Linked DNA regions of Arabidopsis thaliana. The protein of the gene in region 1 interacts with the protein of each later gene in a pairwise test. Each region holds a gene or a part of one and is shown on either strand. Other genes may lie near its edges. The genes, in order: AT4G18205, AT1G19450 and AHA10.

Region 1 (7,542 bases):
ACTATAAGAAATGGCTTCGTATTTCCATTTACGTGTTCTTTGTCCTTGCTTGCCAAGCACTTTCTACAATTTTGGGCAGAGTTTACTATGAAAATGGTGGGAAGAGTACATGGATGGGAACACTTGTCCAACTAATCGGCTTCCCTGTTCTGTTTCTCTTCCGCTTCTTTTCCCAAACCAAAAATCCCAAACCAACAGAAGCAGATTTCAGAAAGTTCTCTTCCTTCACCATTCTTGGATCAGTTTACATCGTTACTGGACTATTAGTGTCTGCTAACTCTTATATGTCCTCTGTTGGTTTACTATACTTACCAGTTTCTACTTTCTCCCTCATCTTGGCCTCACAATTGGCCTTCACTGCCTTCTTCTCATATTTTCTAAACTCGCAGAAGTTCACACCTTTCATTGTGAATTCTCTGTTTCTCCTTACTATTTCCTCTGCCCTCCTCGTGGTCAACACTGATTCGGAAAACACAGCAAAAGTGTCTAGAGTAAAATATGTGATAGGGATAATATGTACCATTGGTGCTTCTGCTGGGATTGGATTGCTGCTATCCCTGGTACAACTGATCCTCAGGAAGGTTTTAAAGAAGCAAACATTCTCAACGGTCACTGACTTGGTCGCTTACCAATCTCTAGTTGCAAGCTGTGTGGTTCTCATAGGACTTTTCGCAAGCGGGGAGTGGAAAACTTTAACAAGTGAGATGGAAAACTACAAACTGGGGAAAGTGCCATACGTTATGACTTTGGCCTCGATAGCTATTTCCTGGCAAGTCTACACCATTGGCGTCGTGGGACTGATCTTTGAGTCATCTTCTGTGTTCTCCAATTCCATAACTGCTGTGGGATTGCCTATAGTTCCAGTTGTAGCAGTGATTGTTTTCCATGATAAAATGAACGCGTCAAAGATCTTCTCCATCATTTTAGCTATCTGGGGATTCATTTCATTTGTCTATCAGCACTACCTCGACGAAAAGAAGTTGAAGACTAGCCACACAAGTCCTGTAGGAGATCCTCATCTACTACCTGCTGAGGAAGGTCACACAAACATACATAGTGTATGATCAAAACATATTTCCAGTGTAAAGCCAATGTATCTTTGTACAGTTTGAGCATAGATATAAAAACGTGTATCTCTAGTCAATCATAAGTAACTGATAAGTTTTGTACATAAGATACCAATAGTTCGGATCTTTTTTACTTCTATATACCGGAGATACCCATAACTTAAAGATGCAAATGCAATACTCTGCTTTGTCATTTTGCAATGCATTTGAATCACCAAAAAACAAGAGCAAACATCGATAGCAGAGAGGCAAATAGGCTAAAGCATCCTTGGAAAACCAGAGCTTTGAACAAAAAAAAAGAAACAAGTGAACAAAAATAATACCCACTTACCTGGAAGCCACTGACATAACAAATAACCAATGTAGTGACTTGAACAGTGCCTTGTAAAAAGACTCCTTAAAATACCAAAAACGTATACTCCAGGAGCTTGGATTCTTGTATCTTTGTTGACTTCTGATTAAACGTCAGTAGACACTGAGAAAATAAAAAAAATTCTCGTAGAGCCGCCATTCAAAAGTTTCAAGAATTCCACAAGTCAAGTGTAAGCAAATAAGAAAAGTCACCGGTCAACATGAGACTACTAAATAATGATACTGCTACTGTCATCTATCGCCTGCCCCATCCATATAATACGATTTACTAAAAGCCTGCCATGTTTGATAATGCAACTTGTGTAGGGTATTTAGATGTTTTTTTGTAATACCATCAATGTGTGTTTAAAGAAAGGCCTCTTGTGTATCTGCACGACATCTCAAACAAAACCAATCAATAAAAACAAGAAACAATCTTCTTTCTCATGGACAGATCTCAAGAACACTATGCCAATGGTAAGAAGAAGCACCTGATAAAGTTAGATCCTTGAATTCATTTTTTCATGAGATATAATAAACATGAGTGTTAATTTTTCAGGTGACCAGAACTTAGAAGCAAACCTTATAGATCATGAGGTGGTAACTGAATCATCATCATCAGCTGTGCCTCAAACCGAGAACTATAAAAGGTGGCTTCGTGTCTCCATATACGTAATCTTTGTCCTCTTTTGCCAGCCACTAGCTACAATTCTGGGTAGATTGTACTATGAAAATGGAGGAAATAGCACATATGTGGTAACACTTCTTCAACTCATTGGCTTCCCTGTACTGGTTCTGTTCCGCTTCTTTTCTCGAATCAGGCAACCCAAATCAACAGATACAAATTTCAGTCAGTCCCCTTCCTTCACCACCCTTGCATCGGTTTACTTGTGCACTGGACTGCTAGTGTCCGCTTATGCTTATTTGTCTGCAGTAGGGTTGCTCTACTTACCAGTCTCTACTTTCTCCCTCATCTTGGCCTCACAGTTGGCCTTCACTGCCTTTTTCTCATATTTCCTTAACTCGCAAAAGTTCACTCCTTTGATAGTCAGTTCTTTGCTTCTCCTCACTGTATCCTCTGCTCTTCTTGTGGTCAACACTGATTCAGAAAACTCAACTAATGTATCTAGAGTACAGTATGTGATCGGGTTCATATGTACCATCGGTGCTTCCGCTGGGATTGGACTGTTACTATCTCTGATACAAATGCTCTTCAGGAAAGTTTTCACGAAGCATACATCCTCAGCAGTCACGGACTTGGCCATTTACCAGTCTCTAGTTGCGAGTTGTGTAGTTCTCATAGGACTTTTTGCAAGTGGAGAGTGGGAAACTTTGCCAAGTGAGATGAGAAACTACAAACTCGGGAAAGTGTCATATGTTTTGACTTTAGCCTCGGCAGCTATTTCCTGGCAAGTCTACACTCTTGGTCTTGTGGGATTGATCTTCGAGTCATCCTCTGTGTTCTCCAATTCCATAACAGCTGTGGGATTGCCTATAGTTCCAGTTGCGGCAGTGATAGTTTTCCATGATAGAATGGACGCATCAAAAATCTTCTCCATTATTTTAGCTATCTGCGGCTTCCTTTCATTCGTCTATCAGCACTACCTCGACGAAAAGAAGTTGAATACTAGCCACACAAGTGCTGTAGGAGATCTTCATCTACCTGTTGAGGAAGGTCACACAAACATACAAAGTGTGTGATCAAAGCATATTTCCAGTATAAAGCCAATGTATCTTTCTTTTTTTCCCCTCAAAGGCCAAAGCCAATGTATCTTTGTACAGTTTGAGCATAAAAAACGTGTAACGCTACTTTGCAAACTAGTCAGTCATAATAGCTAATAAGTTTTGTACATATGATACCAATAATTTCAGAATATTTTTCTTCTATATATACCAATAAGTTTTCTTAAAGATGCAAATGCAATACTCTGCTTTGTAATTTTGCAATGCATTTGAAACACCGAATCAAGAGCAAACAACGAAGTCAGAGAGACAAATAGGCTAAAACAGAGCTTTGAGCAAAAAAAAAAAACAAGTGAACAGATATAATACCCACTTACTTGGAAGCCACTGACATAACAGATAAACAATGTAGTGACTTGCAACAAAACTCCTTAAAATACCAAAAACGTATACTCTAGGAGCTTGGCTTCTTGTATCTTTGTTGACTTCTGATTTAACGTCAATAGACACTGAGGAAAAAGAGTTCTCTTAGAGCCGCCATTCAAAAGTTTTAAGAATTTTAAGTCAAGTGTAAGCAAATAAGAAAGGTCAATGGTCAGCATGAGACTACTAAATTATGATACTGCTGTCATCTATCACCTGACCCATCTTTATTATTATACACAAATTAGTAAAAGTCTGCCAAGTTTGATTAGTGCAACTTGTATCTGGGGTATTTAGTTACTATAATAAATATCATTTTGTGTATAAAGAAAGGTCTCTTCTGTATCTAAAAGACATATCAAACGAAAGAAATCAATAAACACAATATTCTTTCTTCCAAATTTTCTCATTTCTCATGGGCATATCTCAAGTACACTATTGCAATGGTAAGCAAAAGGTACCTGATGACGTTAGATCATTTGATCCTCTTTCGATGAAATATAATAACCACGAGTGTTAATTTTTCAGGTGACCAGAACTTAGAAGCAAACCTTCTAGATCATGAGGAAACTGAATCATTTTCAGTACCTCAAACGAAGAACTGTAAGAGGTGGCTCCGTGTCTCCATATACGCAATCTTTGTCATCTTCTGCCAACCACTTGCTACAGTTCTGGGTAGACTGTACTATGAAAATGGAGGGAAAAGCACATATGTGGTAACACTTCTTCAACTCATTGGCTTCCCTGTACTGATTCTCTTCCGCTTCTTTTCTCGAATCAGGCAACCCAAATCAACAGATACAAATTTCAGTCAGTCCCCTTCCTTCACCACCCTTGCATCGGTTTACTTGTGCACTGGACTGCTAGTGTCTGCTTATGCTTATTTGTCTGCAGTTGGGTTGCTTTACTTACCAGTCTCTACTTTCTCCCTCATCTTGGCCTCACAGTTGGCCTTCACTGCCTTTTTCTCATATTTCCTTAACTCGCAAAAGTTCACTCCTTTGATAGTCAATTCTTTGTTTCTCCTTACGGTTTCCTCTGCCCTCCTCGTGGTCAACACTGATTCAGAAAACACAACAAATGTATCTAGAGTACAATATGTGATTGGGTTCATCTGTACCATTGGTGCTTCCGCTGGGATTGGATTGGTACTATCTCTGATACAACTGCTCTTCAGGAAAGTTTTCACGAAGCATACATCCTCAGCAGTCCTGGACTTGGCCAATTACCAGTCTCTAGTTGCAACTTGTGTGGTACTCATAGGACTGTTTGCAAGTGGAGAGTGGAGAACTCTGCCAAGTGAGATGAGAAACTACAAACTGGGGAAAGTGTCATATATCTTGACTTTGGCCTCAGCAGCTATTTTCTGGCAAGTATACACTGTTGGTTGTGTGGGATTAATCTTCGAGTCTTCTTCTGTGTTCTCCAATTCCATAACTGCTGTGGGACTGCCTATAGTTCCAGTTGTAGCAGTGATAGTTTTCCATGATAAGATGGATGCATCAAAGATTTTCTCCATCATTTTAGCTATCTGGGGCTTCCTTTCATTTGTCTATCAGCACTACCTCGACGAAAAGAAGTTGAAGACTTGCCAGACAAAACCTGTTGAGGAAGAAACACAAACTTTATGAAACAAGTTGTATCGAAGGTCTCAGAAACAAACATACATAGTTGTACACAGTCATGTAAATAACCTATATAAAGCTTGTATGTGTAATATCCGTAATGGTCCATGCAAATGGGATATGTATGTCGCTCATATTTCAGGTATTTAGAACTTTTATTCAAAAGAGTATTGTGTAATACGAGCAGAGTGATAAAAGCAGTCATTTATTTAACAGAAAAACCATGTCAATTTTGTGATACTTTCATTGTGTGAGTGTGAAACCCGATAAAAATTGACCAGTTAGCATAACTTACAGATATGTCAATGCAATATTCTCCTTTCTAGTTTTGAAATGCACCTAAATCTTGGGAAACAAGAACAAACAGCAAATCATGTATAATGAGAGATAGAAGATAATTTGTCAGATTGGTCCAACATCCTTGGGGAAACAGAGCTTTGAACAAAAAGTAAATGACCAGAAATAATACCATTTTATATAGCGACTTCCTCTGCCGTCCAGTATTAAGTTGTTGCGAATGTCTTCTCTTGAAAAGATAGGCGAGACATAATCTTTAGCTAACGTCAGCATCATCTTGATGGCAAAAACTTCATGACTAGCCATGGAAACCGAAGTGTGTACCCAATCCAAATAAATTTAAAAAGACAAATAACTTTTAGAAATGTCGTCCTCATCAAGATCACAGAATACTACAACTTGTGTACACGTTCATACATATGCGTATGCGTGTTAAGTTTCTATTTGTCTATGCGTATGGGGTTCATGTCCTCCACATAGTTGCAGAAGAAAGTCTGAATGAATATTGCCTACACATAATTTCCTCCTAGACTTAACTCATCTCTTGGTCAACAATAGAGGCATCTTTGCATGTAGAAAGACTACAGATACTAAATTCATGGAAAGAGAAGAGATATGGTTGGCATTTACTGAATGTGGGGCCAAGAACAAAGAAAACTTAGACGGTGACCGATTCCTAATCCCAGAATATATAACTTAGCATATCTCACCCATATCAAAGGAGCAATCACTTGGTAGCATTATCAACCAAGAGAATTGATAATAAGATACGTTAGTTCCTCCTTGTCCATCTCCAAGGTGGTGATTCCACATCCACCATGACGGCGGATCAAGAACTACAAATCATTGGTGAGTAAGCATAAACCAGTTTGTGGTGAACGTCCTATTCTTTCATCTTCAAAAAAAAAAAAGATGGTTATGATATTTTATAATTCAATATATGAAACGATCGACAACAAATAAACTAATTTTTGCGTTATTTTCACTCACTTACCAGTTCGGCAGGGAAAAGAACCAAATCCAACAGTTCAAGATGAAAGAAATTCAGTCAGTAGCAGCCAAGCAGAAGTATCTCACTCTAACACATACAAACGGTGGCTCAGGGTGACTTTATATACATTCTTTGTCATTTCAGGCCAAACAGTTGCTACAATTTTGGGCAGAGTATACTATGACAACGGAGGAAACAGTAAATGGCTAGCAACGGTAGTTCAACTTGTTGGCTTTCCTGTGCTACTTCCATATTATATCTTGTCATTTAAAACACATGCAACAACTGATAGAGATGGAAAAAGAACCTCACCTAGGAACCGTGTATTGGTTTACGTAGTGCTTGGACTTCTTGTAGGAGCAGATTGCTATCTGTACTCCATTGGACTTCTTTACTTACCCGTTTCTACCTATTCCCTGATCTGTGCATCTCAGTTAGCCTTCAATGCTTTCTTCTCTTATTTTCTTAACTCACAAAAACTTACCCCTATCATTTTAAATTCTCTTTTCCTCCTAACTATATCTTCCACCCTACTTGCATTCAATAATGAGGAGACAGACTCCACAAAAGTTACAAAAGGAGAGTATGTCAAAGGTTTCATATGCACCGTTGCTGCGTCTGCTGGTTATGGTCTAGTCTTATCCCTACAACAGCTAGCCTTTCTAAAAGTCCTAAAGAAGCAAAATTTCTCAGAAGTTATGGATATGATAATCTACGTGAGTCTAGTGGCCAGTTGTGTTAGCGTGGTGGGGCTTTTTGCTAGCAGTGAGTGGAAAACTTTGAGCAGTGAAATGGATAACTACAAACATGGGAAGGTATCCTACATTATGAACCTAGTGTGGACAGCTGTTACCTGGCAGGTATTCTCCATCGGTGGCACAGGACTGATCTTCGAGCTCTCCTCTCTATTCTCAAATGCAATAAGCGTTTTGGGACTCCCAGTGGTTCCTATCTTGGCTGTAATCATTTTCCATGACAAAATGAATGGGTTAAAGGTGATTTCTATGATCCTAGCTATTTGGGGTTTCACTTCCTATGTCTACCAACAATATCTTGATGACAAAAACTTGAAGAAAAATCATGAAATCACAACAACAGAATCCCC
Region 2 (7,542 bases), on another chromosome or scaffold:
TGTGAATCCGTTACTTTGAGAATATAAACAAGGAACGGTAACTACAAAAACCATTTTCATGTTCTTGTAACGTATTATTTCGTTACTATCTGTAAATTGTCTAGATATTTTCCTAGTTTATTACTTTTGGAAGAAAATGACCTTAGTATTGTTTACTTGGTTCTGATTTCTTAATGAATGGTCAAATTGGACAGTGGGACATGCCAAGAATGTTATATAAAGAATGATTTTAAAATTGTTATTATATTGTTGTTTTCTTTTTCAAATCGACCGCCGTTTGCATTGGAAATAGTCCTTTCATGTTCGCCAAACAACAAAACTCCCAAAGCAGTTTCTATCACATGGTAGCTTTCCCATTTGGATCCAAAACACTAACATTTGCATTTCTGATTTTCTATACTTAATTCAAGATATTGTTGAATACACAAATATAGTGCTATTAATCTTGAGAATCCGAAAAATTACACACAAAAACAAAAAATCAAATTTAAAGGTATAATGATATGCTTGTACAAGATAAACAAATTATAATCAATGTCAAGAAGAAATACATTGAACAAAGCATGAAATACAGACACAGGGAAGGGACAAAAGAATGATCTGTAATGGAGAAAGCAAAAAGTGAAAATTTTGTCTTCTTCTTCCTCTTCTTGTTTTGATCATCTGAACAAAGCTTGGATCTCTTCAAGCGTTTTTCCTTTAGTCTCAGGAACCCAAAGACTCACAAAAACCACAGTGAATCCACAAACCAAAGCGTAGAGAGTGAAAGTTCCCCCACTGCTCCATGCTAACAGCATATTTGCAGTCATTGTCACTAACCATGACACGAACCAGTTTAACAAAGTTGCTATACTTCCGGCTAAACCCTTTATATTCACTGGCAGAATCTGTTTTACCAACATTAATCAGTATTAAAATTTCCAGTTGTGATTTTAACACTAAGGAACACCATGTTTTAATATTTAGTACCTCAGACATAATCAGCCATGGAATTGGTCCCATTCCTAGAGAGCAAGAAATAACCATAGCCTGTAAATAACTCAGCCAGATTTAGTACACATACCGGGAAATATGTAAATAAGAAAGTATCTTTCGTTGTGTGAATGTATAAAACAAACGACTTACCACAACTCCAACTACGGAAACCATGCTTAGAATGTTGTACATGTTGGAATCAGGTGATACAAATTCCTAACAAAAGATTAAGAAACCTCAATATCTCATAATTAGAGTGACACTCTTACATTGTACAAGTAGAGATGTCAAAAGTTAAAATGTTACCTTAAGGTAAAATGCAACTGCTACAATCACGAGGCTTATCGTCATTCCGATAGAAGAGATCTGCATTTCAGAAGAAAATGCTAATATTATGTTATGCATACATAAATTCTTCAGACTTTGTAAGATATACAGATGAATCTCAAATATTCTTCACCATGAGTAGAAGCCGACGACCTGCTTTATCCACCAACCATGTCGCTATCCCAGTCGCCACTACCTGGTATAGAATGAACAACGGTTAGAAAAATCGAATCTAATGTCTCCTAGATTGAAATGATATACCTGAACAACGCCAACTCCAAATGTCGCCACATTACTTGATGTCACCCCTTAGTGAATGATAATTGCAAACAAAGAAGCATAGTTAGAAATCTGTTTATTCTATCTTAGGACCATTCCAATAATCAAAAAAAACATATGACTCTACCTGCAGATTCAAAAATTGTACTCGAATAGAACAAGACACCATTGATTCCTCCAAGTTGTTGAAGTGCAAGCAGCCCTATACCAACCTGTAACACAGATTACAGGAAAAGAGTGAGTTTCTCTCATGTGTTGACAAAATTAGTTCAAGAGAGGTAAGAGAAATTGCACCATCAGTGGGAAATAGTATCTCCTGCGCTTGAGGTCTACAAACCGAACTGCAGAACGTTTGCTAGATGATGCCACAGATCTCTGCAGAGTGCATAAAATGAAAATTTTAAATAAGACAAGAAATCACATCAAAGCATTTCTTCAGTTTAGTCACTACCTTGATTTCATTAACCTCAACGGTAATATCAGTCTCAAATCCACGAAGAACTTGCAATGAAGTTTCGAAATCATCTGTCAAACCCATCTTTGCCTACAATTACAACACCAAAACAATTTAGGATAACCAATAATGCAACAAACTCAACAATATAAGCAATACGGTTGTAGAGGCATACCAACCACCGAGGAGATTCAGGAATGAAAAAAAGACCCGGTATCAACAATGTACATGGCAATACTCCTAAACATAAAGAAGACAAACAAGAAAGTGATTAGACTGTATCGATCAAAATAAAATAAAAACAGGTATAGTTTCTCCCAAGTCAAGTCAAAATGTTTTGTGAGTTACCCAAAACTGCAAGAATTCTCCATGGAACAAAGAGACCGAGTAAATACGCCAGCATTATCCCAATTGTTACAGAAAGCTATAAACACAAAACATTTATTGTTTAGTGTTAACATATGAATCAGCTCATAAAATGAAACATAAAAATAGTGAAGCTAACTAAACATGACAAACCTGGTTAACTGAACCTAAGGCTCCTCTCATGGTCTGTGGAGCGATCTCAGCTATATATACGGGAACCTAAAATCGCAATTCAAAGGTGTGTAATTATATTGATCACTCCAAACAAACATTGCTGAAATCAAAGAAATAGTTGAATCTAATATTACCGTATAGGAGATAATCCCAACTCCGAAGCCTTCTAACAATCTTCCCATGTAAAGAAAAGAAGTATCCTAAACAAAAACCAAGAACAACAACAACTTAGTAGGTATAGAGATAAGCCAAGAATATCAGAAACTTTGAGAACACCAAAACACTCACTTTTGCAAATGATATCGAAAGCCATCCAATAATATTGGGAATTGCAGCAATCATCAGAGACTGTCAAAAGGAAAGAAAAACACAGTAAATAAGATACAACAAGAAAGAAGATGTTACATGACAAATTGTCACAGATGAGAACATGTTTTAGAATCAAGAAACAAAACTATTATACCCCTTTCCGTCCAACGTATTCAGCAATCTGACCACTCGCAATTGCTCCAACCATAGCACCCACATTGGATAGAGACCCAAACACAGAGTACTAAAACATCAAACAAGAAACCTAAAAGTCAGAAAATTACAGAACAAGAGTCTTTACAAAAAAAAAAAAAAAAAACAGAACAGTTCTTAAATAAAGATGGGACCTTCATACCTCTGATACAGTTAAACCAAGATCCTTAGTAATGGCAGCTTGAGTTGGTGAGGAATAACCACACTGAAAACAAAAAGATAAATCAAAATCAACACTTTCTTAGTCAATTTGAGCAAAAGCAGAGAAATCCACATTGATAAAAAAAAATATAAGAAAGTTGAGATATTTGTTTATGTTGTTCTTACAGTGAATCCGAATTGAATAGGACCAAGAGCAACAATCAAAACACAAGCTAAGACAGAAATTGAGCTGTCTCGAATAACTTGAGACGATTCCAACATACTAGATTGTCTCGAACCCATCCGATACCAACTTCCTGTGTGTAAGAACGGTCGCCGAAGATCATTTCTTCCCTCTTCCGTATTATCATCCCTAAAACTCATCTTTTTGTTTTTCTTAAATCTACAAAACAATCGTAATCTACAGAGAGAAAAAAGCACGAATCTTTCGGAGGATAAAAATGTCGATCCTAAACTAGAAAATGCAGAAGAAGAAAAATACGAAATTTGAGGTAGGATTTGAGTTTTGGGTGAATTCAAAAAGATGTTAGACTTGTTTTGCTTAAGAATTCTTCATGGTTTGTAAAAATTGAGCCTTTGCGTGGAGAGACGCAGACTGTTTCATAGTTTTCCACCTCAGAACGCGTCGCCTAACATCGATTTATAGAATTCGTAAAGGGACCTGTTTTTTTTCTTCTCTGTCGACAAAAAAAAACTTAATTTAAAAACATTTTAATTTGTAATTAAATAAGATATCGTTCATTTTAAATTCTTTTATATCAAATTTAACTATTGTTTTTTTTTGTCTGATTGTCGTTTTCGAGTTATTTTTTGCGCAAAGATAATTTTTTGAATCATTGTCCCATGTTCGCTCACATATACAAGCATTTGTAGTCGCTTTGAATCATTTATTTTCTTCTACATACTTCTACATACTCATTAGTATTATAATGAGCTTTTACAATGTAACTAATTACGCAACAATACTATAAAATTGTGGTACAGGCTGAGACTAAACTATATTGTATTTTTAAGAAAATGTTTTTCTTTTTGTTTAGGTAAACTGTCTACTTCAAAGATATTTTTTGGTAGGAATAATAATTAAAACTTCCCATATTAGAATACGAGGCCACTAGACATTCCTTTTGACAACAAAAAGTGACAATGTCATTTTATATTTTAGCACTTATAATAATAGTTAGCATGCATTATAGAATTCATATTTAGATGTTGTCCTAACTCTTAACAAAATCAGAATAACAATATTGTGGGAGAAAATTTAGCTAAAACTTCAATTTAGGACAAATAATAAGATTATTAAAGTAACACTTAAATATGAATATAATGCTCGAATCCTCCTCTACTTTTTAGCATTTTCGCTACCTCGTTGATATTGATGTCGATAGGTCACAAATATGCAAGTGACATTATTTTATTAGATAAACTCGAATAATTATAGTTTTTGTTTTCTAGTATATGAAAAATATATGGATGTCATTAATTTCGAATACTTCAATAAATATAAATATTTATTCAGATACAACATTATTTATTTATTTTCAATATTTAAAATCTTTGAGAATACGACATGTTATTTCAATGTTTACCAATAACATCCTACTATATTATTTAGGAAATACATTTTAAATATAACTTTATTTTTTTGTAAGTAATTACATAGGTATGTCATTAGAAATAAGATTTTAAAGAGTAAATTAATTTATTTCTTTAAAAATTAAAAGTCAAATACTAATTTAATTAATTAAATTTAACTCAAAAACGAAATACATTATTAATTTCCAAAAAAGTAACCAATTAAAATCAACAAATTAGATTTGATATCTAAATTATCATATTAATTTTTTATTAATTATTATAGTTCACCTCTCATCTTTATATGATTCTATTTTTGCAAAAAAATAATATCATCGTTATAAAAAAATAATTAGAATTTTTTCGCATATGCCACAATTTGAATTTTTAAAAACGAATATAAACTGTTCAATACATGAAAAAATACTATAACGGGTCAAAAGTAGATTTAAGAAATTTTTTTACTGAGTACTGTGTCATAGTTTGAATATTTATATTCAATTTCATACATATTATTTTAAAATTTATAATCTTATATACTACAATAATTAATAACATATTAGATTTTTTAATGTGTATGATGTGATTCAATTTTTAATACAAGCTGAAAAATCCTACAATTGACGGGTTTAAATCAATATTAATACAAGATGATATACTATATGTGAAACTTTAAAATTAACAATCAAAATACAAGTATATAATTTTAAACACTAAACAATATAAATAATATCAACAAAACATATACAACTCGCAGTTTACTATACATTTAAAATCAAATAAAATAATATCATATATTTATAATCAACTTTACAATAAAAGTTTTTAGTTTAACTAAAATATAAGACTACCTGCTGTATAATGCAAGTTAAAATTATAAATAAGCCGATTACCATCACGATGGATGTACCATCTCACATACACACCTATCAAAAACTTAAAACCTTTCAAAACCTCTTGGTATATTCAAATTAGGATTCTTCATTCATGGAATCATTATTCCAAGGGTTTTGGGATGTCTTATGAAATGATTTTGGCAGAAGAAGATGTAAATTTTTTTGAATAAAAAGTAGTCACCAAAACATATGTTTTATTGGGATTTTTTAGATAATTAAATCAGAGAATAGGGCTAGGCATATGAGTAACCCATTCGAGTTCGGGTATAACCCGTTCGGATTTGGGATTAATGGGTATATGATTTACTACCTAATAGAATAATTCTAAATATTCGGTTCGGATCGCGTCCATTTGGGTTTAGGTCAGTTTGGATAAAAAGTTTCAGGCCCTAAAAATACTCAAAAAATAGAAACAGGTATTTTGTATGTAGATAATGCGTCTCCAAACAACAAAAACTTTTAAATTTATTAAATTTTAATAAATTTAATTATATTTAAATATATTTTACTAAAGTTTGACAAATATAACAAATAATTTTGACAAACATAGCAAACATAATAAAGTATACAATTTAATTTATACAAAATATTAATGTTCGTGCTGTATAGCACGAGTTATGATCTAGTTATGTTTTAAAACATAAGTTTAGATGACATTTTCAATGTTTACCAATAACATTATGTTTTAAAACATAAATTTAGATGACATTTGATGTTGTATTGGTGAATAAAATATATGTATTGGAAAAAAAAAAAAAAATCTCCACAAAAGTCATTCTCTCTTTTTTCTAAAATTCATTGAAGATATATTTTTAAAAAAAAAGAAAAACAGAGTGTTATTTACAGATGAATGAATTGGGAAACATTTAAGTAATTTTTTAAATATGATACGTATGTAACCTGTTAGTTGTTAATCTTCTTAGTTGTTAATAACGTCGGCATAATTGAGATCCCAAAATCACACAAGTTACATACACGAGGTTTTATTTTTTTAAAGAACTTCTAAATCGAGATAAATCTATGGTCGATAGAGGCAACGACAAGAAAGGCCAGTAGATATCACACCAAACACGTCTTATTGGGGTTATGATTCATAGGCTCTGATTCATCGTTCAACATATAATAATATTCTGTTGACCCAACAATGCAGATTCGTATATTTTCACTGTTCTGGGTCTTTTGTCTCTTTCTCATCTCTCACGTGTTAGTGCTTACATCTCTGTGTAGCCGTTTCCGGATCCCGACACAAGCATTCTCTTCCATTGTCCCCACTTTGCTTAGTTGGTCTGATACTTTTATCGGTTTTAATATCAATAAGTAACACGATTTTCACCATTTAACGAGTACATGCAACACGATTGTACATGTCACATTTATCTTGGCATAAATCTATCTATGATCGTTAACACGATTATACATTAAAAACTTTGGATCAATTATTTTTTATTTTCTCTTTTATTGTTGGGAGTAGTGTTCTAATTGATTTAATAATTTTTATTGAGAATAATAATCGAATTTAAAATGCAGTGTGTATTAGACAATTAGTGGACTTATAGAGGCTAATTTAAGTAACCAAATTTGGGCTTTAATAAGGATCCATACTCTTCGGCTTGAAAGCCCACATTGTAAAGTTAAAACACTATATCAGGCTCTGTTTTCATTATGGCTATAAATACACGAGTTTTTCCAGAAACCAAATCAGGCTCTGTTTTCATTATTTCTCGCTGCTGACTTCACAGACGACGATGGCTAATATCTCTGAAATTTCCGGCGACTCTAATGACGGCGGAGATCCAAACAAGAAACCAGAAGAAC
Region 3 (7,542 bases), on another chromosome or scaffold:
TGTTCACTGTTGTTGGCAATTGATTTTACATGGAAGTGTTTCTGCAGCCATTAAAGATTGGTCACCGGTATGCATTCTTCTCGGTAAGCAAAATCTAACTTACTTTGAGTGATAGGAAGATACCTCGAAGAAGGTGGTAGAAACAATGATCCAGTAAAACAGGACGGTGACCAATGCTAGATATGTTCCAATGACAATTCCTGTCGCAAATATCTGGTTGAGCTTCCAACTCTCGGGTGTAGGAGATGGCCTAACTCGATCTTTAGAAATAGTCATGATAGTCCCTGATGCGTAGGAGATAAACATAGCGTTTGAAAGTGATAAAAATTAGGTTACATCAATATGAAGCTATTGATTAAGAGATTACCGTCATTGAGTATTGCGATTATCAGAACCATGAAAGGTGGGAAGTCGTATTCCCATATCAACGCTAAAAGTGTAAAACCAAGCTGCATGAAACAATGTCAAGAAGAGAAAGTTCAAGTAAGTTGATGTAACTTAACTAACATGAGTTAGATCATGTATCATGAAGCTCCTTACCACTATGCGTATGGTGATAGAGACTGCATATACCTGCAGATTCGTACTGATTAGTCGGTAATTCAGAGAAAAACATAAGCTAGTTGAGAATGTCATCAGGCTACTTGAAATCCATATCCTATATTATATGATTTTTCATTTCTTTAGCTATCAGGGATCAGATGATAGTAGTATAACTATAACTTTAGTACTTACTGTATAGTTCCTCATCCGCTGGAAAATGGCTCTGCTGGTCAAGACAGCACTGATAATTACACTTAAGCCGGGATCAGTTAGTACTATGTCAGCAGAACTTCTTGCAGCATCTGTTGCATCTGCGACAGCTATTCCGATGTCAGCTTTTTTGAGAGCAGGAGCATCATTCACACCATCTCCGGTCATTCCAACCACATGCTTCATTTCTTGTAAAATCTTTACAATCTCATACTTATGTTCTGTAACATGAGAGACAAAAAAAATTTGGGATTAGAAATGAGAGCAAATCTTAAATTTCGTAGGTACTAAGGTTGTGTTAGAATATGACCAGGGAAAACTCCAGCAAATCCATCTGCCATTTCAATTAGCTCATCCACTGGAATGGCTTCATGCTCATCATTGTTGTGGCCTAACAAAGAGGAAGAAGGATACATGTTGGTTCCCATTCCAAGACGTCTGCCTGTCTCCTTTGCAATCGCCAATTGATCACCTACATGTGGTTCCAAACTTATCATTCATTTTCCCAGAGTTTTACCGTTTACTCACAAGGGTATATGTGTTTCTCTGTCGGGCCAAGCCTACCAAGCTAAAGGTTAAGATTTACCAGTGATCATCTTAACGCAAACTCCCAGGCTAAGAGCTCTAAGGATGGTTTCACCGCTATCATGCCTTGGGGGATCAAACAGTGGCAACAGACCACAGAACCTCCATGGTCCTCCAGGACTGTTGTTGCTTTTCTCTGGAATTTCCTAGAAACAATTATTTAAATGATGCAATGAATTGGAGTAATTAATGTCATCATAACGTTCTTCTTCAAAAGTACACTTATGATAAAACCAGCTCAAGAGAGAAAGGGAGAGGACAATGATGTTACCTGATAAGCAACCGCAAGAGACCTCAAACCTTTTTCTGCAAATCTATCAATGATGGCATAAACTCTTTGCGCAATCTCATTTTTCTGCTGACACAAGTTTAGAACCTATAATATAGTGCAGTTGTATTAGTGATGGTATTTCTTTCATGGAAACAGTACAAAAAAATTCACTAAATTTTTACAACTAGAGTCAGTTTGGTAGTGCTAAGAATACATACCTGTTCAGGAGCACCTTTGGTAGCACGATACCATTTTCCATCGGAATCAATATACGTTATTGCAGTACGTTTGTCCACAGGATTGAATGGTAAGAAATGGATTTCTCTAATGTTTGCACGTGCCTACAGATAAACAACCTTTGTATGAGAAAAACTTCTAAGAAGGTGATAGTCTTATAAAAGAGAGTTCATGTTAGAGAAACATCTCTACCTCTCTGGGATCTGCAAGCATGCTAACAATGGCTGCATCTATAGCATCCTGATTTTCTAGTCGTGAAGCTCGGCCTGCAAGCAACAAAATTGTATCCTTGTCCATGTAGTCAACGAATACCTGTGCAGAAGGATTTGTACATTTAAACACCAACAATAGAGAACAAGACGATGAAGAAGGAGGCAACTGTTCTTAACAGTATTGTTTGATGAAATTCAAGTCGCATCTGTAGTATTGGTACCTCAATAAGATTTTTATCAACGGTAAGACTGTTCAAAGTAAGGGTTCCAGTTTTATCACAGCAGAGTACATCCATCCCAGCCATTTCCTCTATTGCGGTCATTCTTTTCGTAATGGCACCCTTAGAGAACATGAAGAAACAGATTATTGCTAACAAACTGTTTTAAAGAATAACAAACAAAGGACTTCCTTTTGCATTCAGCAGCTTAAAGTGGGATGTACCTGTTGTGAAAGTCGATGAGATCCAATGGCAAGCGTTACAGATAGTACAGTGGGCATGGCAATGGGTATCCCTCCAATCAGTAGTACAAGAAGATTATTGATCCCAATTCTGTAAGAGCGATGTTGTACAGGGAACATGATAATGATTTCAAGAACCATTCCAACAGCAATGGAGCAAATGCAGAAGTTTCCAATCGATGTAAGAACCTAGAAGAAAACATGTCAAAGACTACATTCGGTTTTTCCAGATTCCAAGTTCACTAATCAGGTTCTATCCAACCAAAAGGGAAAGAAAGAAGGAAAACCTGCTGAAAATGTCCAGTTACATCTGTACTGTCCACCAAGCGTGCTGTTTTTCCAAAGAAGGTGGTCGATCCAGTTGCTATCACAACAGCTTCTATTTCACCTTGTTTACAAGTAGAGCCAGAAAAGACCTGTTCACCCTTCTTCTTGGTCACAGGTAGTGATTCTCCGGTCAGCACTGACTGCAGGAATAAATGTTTTAACTATTCTGTCAGAGAAAGTCTTTACATAGTACACACTAAAAGAATAGAGACTAGATATTCTGGACGTACCTGATCAATCTTCAAGGGGTCTCCTTCAAGAAGGCGAGCATCTGCAGGAATGATATCCCCAAGCTTAATGCTAATTATATCACCAGGTACCAAGATAGAAGCATCTTGTTCTTGCCACTGTCCATCTCTAAGAACCTATAAGAGTGGATCTAAATCAAATTTAAGGTAATATAGAAATTAAAGTGCAGCTAACTTTGCCGTTTCGGCTCATAGGAAGGTTAAGAGCCATACTCTTGTTTTTAAAGCCAAGCGAGCCATAAGAGCTGCAGCAGCATTCCCAGCATTGTTTTCTTCAAAGAAGCTGATTGTTGCGTTGATCAGCAAAAGGCAAACGATTCCAGTAAAGTCTTCCCAGTCAGGACCTAGACTCTGTAATACCATTTTCACCATGAGTTTCAAGGTGCTTTTTCATAAACACTCATGGATGGAAAATGGTAGCAAAACTGTGGTTGTCTTACTTGACTATTAGCGAGGGCAATGGCCATCAATGCAGCAGCTTCCATAACCCATGACAAGGGATTCCACATAAAACCTAAGAATTTCACAAATCTGTTCTCCTGTATCATTGTTGTTTTAAATGGCGGTTAGCACAAGATAATAGAGACAATTGGCAGGAACACTAAGAAGAATGTCATGTTTATTACCTGTTTCTCTTCAAGTCTGTTAGGACCAAATATCTTCAATCTCTCTTCAGCATCTCCAGATAAAAGCCCTTGAGGCGATGTTCTTAGGTATTCAAAAACCTCCTCCAACGGCAATATACCCTGTCAAGCTCAAGAAGGGTCAAAACCCTTTTTTGCCACTAAGAATTCAAGTACTAATAAGAGTATACAGTTAAAAGGAACATTTACCAAATCAATTCCTTTTCTGTTGAAAGTATCAGGATCCAGCAATGGCTTGTCCAAATCCTCGGCCATACTTAAAAGCTTCAAAATGTATTACCAGGATCCGATACTAATTTCGTCGTTAAGAATATACCAGGAACAGAAGAGAAACAGGAATCCTTAAAAAGAATCCAGGAATATTGAAACTGAAACGACCATTCCATGGCTGACCAGTTGATAGAGTGTGGAGAAGAGGAGATTCTCCTGCAAGTCTCAATTGGTATCACCATTATTGGAAGCATAAGAGAGTTTGCGAACAGTAGATGTGAAAGACGACGAAAAAAGCAGAGAGAGAGAGAAAGAAGAGTGGTTAAAGATCTCACTTCTCTACCTAACGGTCACTCTCACTAGCTTCCTCTTTTTAACTTAACTTAACAACCACTGTTACGTCAACTGTTCTCATAGGACTTGGTCTCCTCTCATGTTACGTAGAAAATGAAATTGAGAAAGGATTAACGATGGACCAATGGTATGAGAAAATTGATCACAGGAATAATGAAAGCGTCAGGACAAAGAAACAGATAAAAAAAATATTAAAGATGTACGACAAGTCTAATTTTGTTATGTCTGGGCTATTCCCCCTTAGTCAACACTGGCCAACAAGTTTTTTCATCTTCTTTGTCTGTTTCTCGTCTTGTTCTTGTTCTCACCATGACTAATGAGGGGAGATTCAAAGCCAAAGGTTTTGTGAGAACTTCATCAACCACAAGACCAATACAAGCTCTGAGTTTTCACATGATTGGCATACTCCTTCAGTGTGTTCTTTTCATCAGTGTCCTTTCTATTGCAGTTTCAGAGGCTCTCTGCAACTCGCAAGATCGAGAATCCCTACTGTGGTTCTCTGGAAACGTTTCTTCTTCTGTTTCTCCTCTGAATTGGAACCCATCCATTGATTGTTGCTCATGGGAAGGAATAACCTGCGATGATTCCCCGGATAGCCACATCACTGCAATCTCATTGCCCTTTAGAGCACTATATGGTAAACTCCCTTTGTCTGTTCTGCGTCTCCACCATCTCTCTCAACTCAATCTTTCTCATAACCGTCTCTCCGGTCATCTCCCATCTGGCTTTCTCTCAGCCCTTGATCAGCTCAAAGTTCTTGATCTTAGTTACAACAGCCTCGATGGTGAGTTGCCAGTTGAACAAACATTTAGAAATGGAAGCAACAGATGTTTCCCAATTCGGATAGTTGATCTGTCAAGCAATTTTCTCCAAGGCGAAATCCTCCCTAGTTCTATTTTTATGCAAGGAACTTTCGATTTAATCAGTTTCAATGTCAGCAAGAACAGCTTCACAGGCTCAATCCCTTCGTTTATGTGCAAGAGTTCACCGCAGCTCAGCAAACTGGATTTCTCCTACAATGATTTTACCGGTAATATTCCGCAAGGACTAGGGAGATGTTTGAAGCTAAGTGTTCTACAAGCAGGCTTCAACAATATCTCTGGTGAAATCCCAAGTGACATATACAATCTTTCGGAGCTCGAGCAACTCTTTCTACCCGTCAATCATCTTTCTGGAAAGATCAATGATGACATCACCCACCTCACAAAACTAAAATCGCTCGAGCTGTACTCCAATCACCTTGGAGGAGAAATACCAATGGACATAGGTCAGCTCTCTCGCCTGCAAAGCCTCCAACTCCATATCAATAACATCACTGGTACAGTCCCGCCTTCTCTTGCAAATTGTACTAATCTCGTCAAGTTGAATCTGAGGCTTAATCGGCTGGAAGGAACCTTATCAGAGCTTGACTTTTCCCGCTTTCAGAGCCTTAGCATTCTAGATCTCGGAAACAATAGCTTCAGCGGTGATTTCCCTTGGAGGGTTCACTCCTGCAAATCTCTATCAGCGATGAGATTTGCAAGCAATAAGTTAACAGGACAGATATCTCCTCACGTACTGGAACTTGAATCTCTATCGATCTTGTCTCTTTCAGACAATAAACTGATGAACATTACAGGCGCTCTTGGAATTCTGCAGGGCTGCAGGAATCTGTCCACTCTCCTCATAGGAAAGAATTTTTACAACGAAACATTTCCAAGCGACAAAGACTTGATTTCCTCAGATGGATTCCCTAATCTCCAAATATTTGCTAGCGGTGGATCTGGACTGAGAGGTGAAATACCAGCTTGGCTAATCAAATTGAAGAGCTTAGCAGTCATAGATTTGTCCCACAACCAGCTTGTAGGGTCAATTCCTGGTTGGTTGGGAACTTTTCCCCACCTTTTCTATATTGATCTCTCAGAAAATCTTCTTTCAGGAGAGCTGCCGAAGGATTTATTCCAACTAAAGGCTCTGATGTCCCAAAAGGCCTACGACGCAACAGAAAGGAACTATCTAAAGCTGCCAGTTTTTGTCAGTCCCAATAATGTTACAACTCATCAGCAATACAATCAGCTGTTTAGCCTCCCACCTGGGATCTACATAAGAAGGAATAACCTGAAAGGAAGTATACCGATCGAAGTTGGCCAGTTAAAGGTTCTTCATGTCCTCGAGCTTTCTCATAACTATTTGTCTGGCATCATCCCACATGAGTTGTCGAAACTCACCAGCTTAGAGAGGCTTGACCTGTCCAACAATCACTTATCTGGTAGAATTCCTTGGTCGCTAACAAGCCTCCATTATATGTCTTATTTCAACGTGGTGAACAACAGTCTCGACGGGCCAATACCCACAGGAAGTCAGTTTGATACTTTTCCACAAGCAAATTTTAAAGGAAACCCCTTGTTGTGCGGTGGCATACTGCTGACTTCCTGCAAGGCTTCAACAAAGCTGCCTGCTACAACCACAAATAAAGCGGATACAGAGGATGAAGAGGAGTTGAAGTTTATTTTTATTCTCGGAGTTGCCACTGGATTTTTTGTTTCCTACTGTTTTTACTGGTGCTTTTTTGCTAGACTCGATGCTTTCATTAGTAAGTAATTTTTTCCTATACATTGTAAAGAAACAGTGGTTAAATGTGATGGTTTTAGATTGATTCTGCTCGCTGCGTATTACTAGATAGAATGTGCAGGCTTTATCAAAATCCTCAAATCTCTTTGTATTTCCAGCAGACATAATATTAAAAATAGAAACCAGCTACTAAAGTTTTATCGCGCCAAATTCGTAACAGGAGATTGAGTTTGCTGACCAAGGAATCTAGTGGGTTTGTTGAGTTGGAGTCTAGAACTATTTCACCAACTTGTAACTAGGATGCTTGATTACCTTCCGTTTATGTGCTCTACTTGAGAGATGAGAGGTGAAATTTTATAGCCTATTCGTGTTGGACAGCAAGATCACGGCAGCATAGTGAGCAAACCCATCAGGCAGAGTCACCCGTTTCACTGCACTTCTACTCCTCAAGTGCCCTTGAATCTGTGGGAAAAAAAAGTAGCCAGTTCAGCAACAGATTTGCTGGTTATTTCTACAACACTGAGATAGAGGACAAACACACACCTGCCAGAAGAAAGTTTTGAAAAGAATTATATGGAAACGGCTGCAGAAGGTTGTATCCCATCATTTGTAGGAAGTCAAAAAGACCAGGTTCCGGATCGGATATGACCATTATATTAGCTGGAGGTGGGATCCTCACGGTAAATCTATA

The links.
Region 2: the proteins of AT4G18205 (region 1) and AT1G19450 interact in a protein complementation assay, tested with the Arabidopsis thaliana proteins (one large-scale study listed by BioGRID).
Region 3: the proteins of AT4G18205 (region 1) and AHA10 interact in a protein complementation assay, tested with the Arabidopsis thaliana proteins (one large-scale study listed by BioGRID).

What each region holds. Positions count from the first base shown.
Region 1 is NC_003075.7:10,069,911-10,077,452, forward strand, and holds AT4G18205 (Nucleotide-sugar transporter family protein), read left to right. Parts: upstream 1-3,800; 5' UTR 3,801-3,939; coding exon 3,940-3,970; intron 3,971-4,052; coding exon 4,053-5,155; 3' UTR 5,156-5,460; downstream 5,461-7,542. Other genes in the region: PUP8 (purine permease 8), read left to right, coding at 1-1,064; PUP7 (purine permease 7), read left to right, coding at 1,865-1,895, 1,978-3,119; AT4G18203 (uncharacterized protein), read right to left, coding at 2,834-3,010, 3,542-3,589, 3,741-3,749; PUP10 (purine permease 10), read left to right, coding at 6,265-6,295, 6,444-7,542.
Region 2 is NC_003070.9:6,731,012-6,738,553, forward strand, and holds AT1G19450 (Major facilitator superfamily protein), read right to left. Parts: upstream 4,014-7,542; 5' UTR 3,623-4,013; coding exon 3,425-3,622; intron 3,303-3,424; coding exon 3,240-3,302; intron 3,129-3,239; coding exon 3,039-3,128; intron 2,924-3,038; coding exon 2,864-2,923; intron 2,776-2,863; coding exon 2,710-2,775; intron 2,621-2,709; coding exon 2,555-2,620; intron 2,460-2,554; coding exon 2,384-2,459; intron 2,276-2,383; coding exon 2,211-2,275; intron 2,126-2,210; coding exon 2,033-2,125; intron 1,957-2,032; coding exon 1,876-1,956; intron 1,794-1,875; coding exon 1,709-1,793; intron 1,611-1,708; coding exon 1,564-1,610; intron 1,499-1,563; coding exon 1,436-1,498; intron 1,342-1,435; coding exon 1,282-1,341; intron 1,192-1,281; coding exon 1,126-1,191; intron 1,030-1,125; coding exon 970-1,029; intron 888-969; coding exon 660-887; 3' UTR 400-659; downstream 1-399. Other genes in the region: AT1G19460 (Galactose oxidase/kelch repeat superfamily protein), read left to right, coding at 7,473-7,542.
Region 3 is NC_003070.9:5,900,508-5,908,049, reverse strand, and holds the start of AHA10 (autoinhibited H[+]-ATPase), read right to left. Parts: upstream 3,993-7,542; coding exon 3,927-3,992; intron 3,840-3,926; coding exon 3,720-3,839; intron 3,633-3,719; coding exon 3,534-3,632; intron 3,445-3,533; coding exon 3,307-3,444; intron 3,211-3,306; coding exon 3,076-3,210; intron 2,986-3,075; coding exon 2,806-2,985; intron 2,708-2,805; coding exon 2,501-2,707; intron 2,400-2,500; coding exon 2,280-2,399; intron 2,159-2,279; coding exon 2,039-2,158; intron 1,951-2,038; coding exon 1,828-1,950; intron 1,715-1,827; coding exon 1,610-1,714; intron 1,485-1,609; coding exon 1,340-1,484; intron 1,226-1,339; coding exon 1,064-1,225; intron 975-1,063; coding exon 736-974; intron 574-735; coding exon 541-573; intron 450-540; coding exon 368-449; intron 285-367; coding exon 124-284; intron 42-123; coding exon 1-41. Other genes in the region: RLP3 (receptor like protein 3), read left to right, coding at 4,611-6,881. UniProt on the Arabidopsis thaliana protein: The plasma membrane H(+) ATPase of plants and fungi generates a proton gradient that drives the active transport of nutrients by H(+)-symport. The resulting external acidification and/or internal alkinization may mediate growth responses.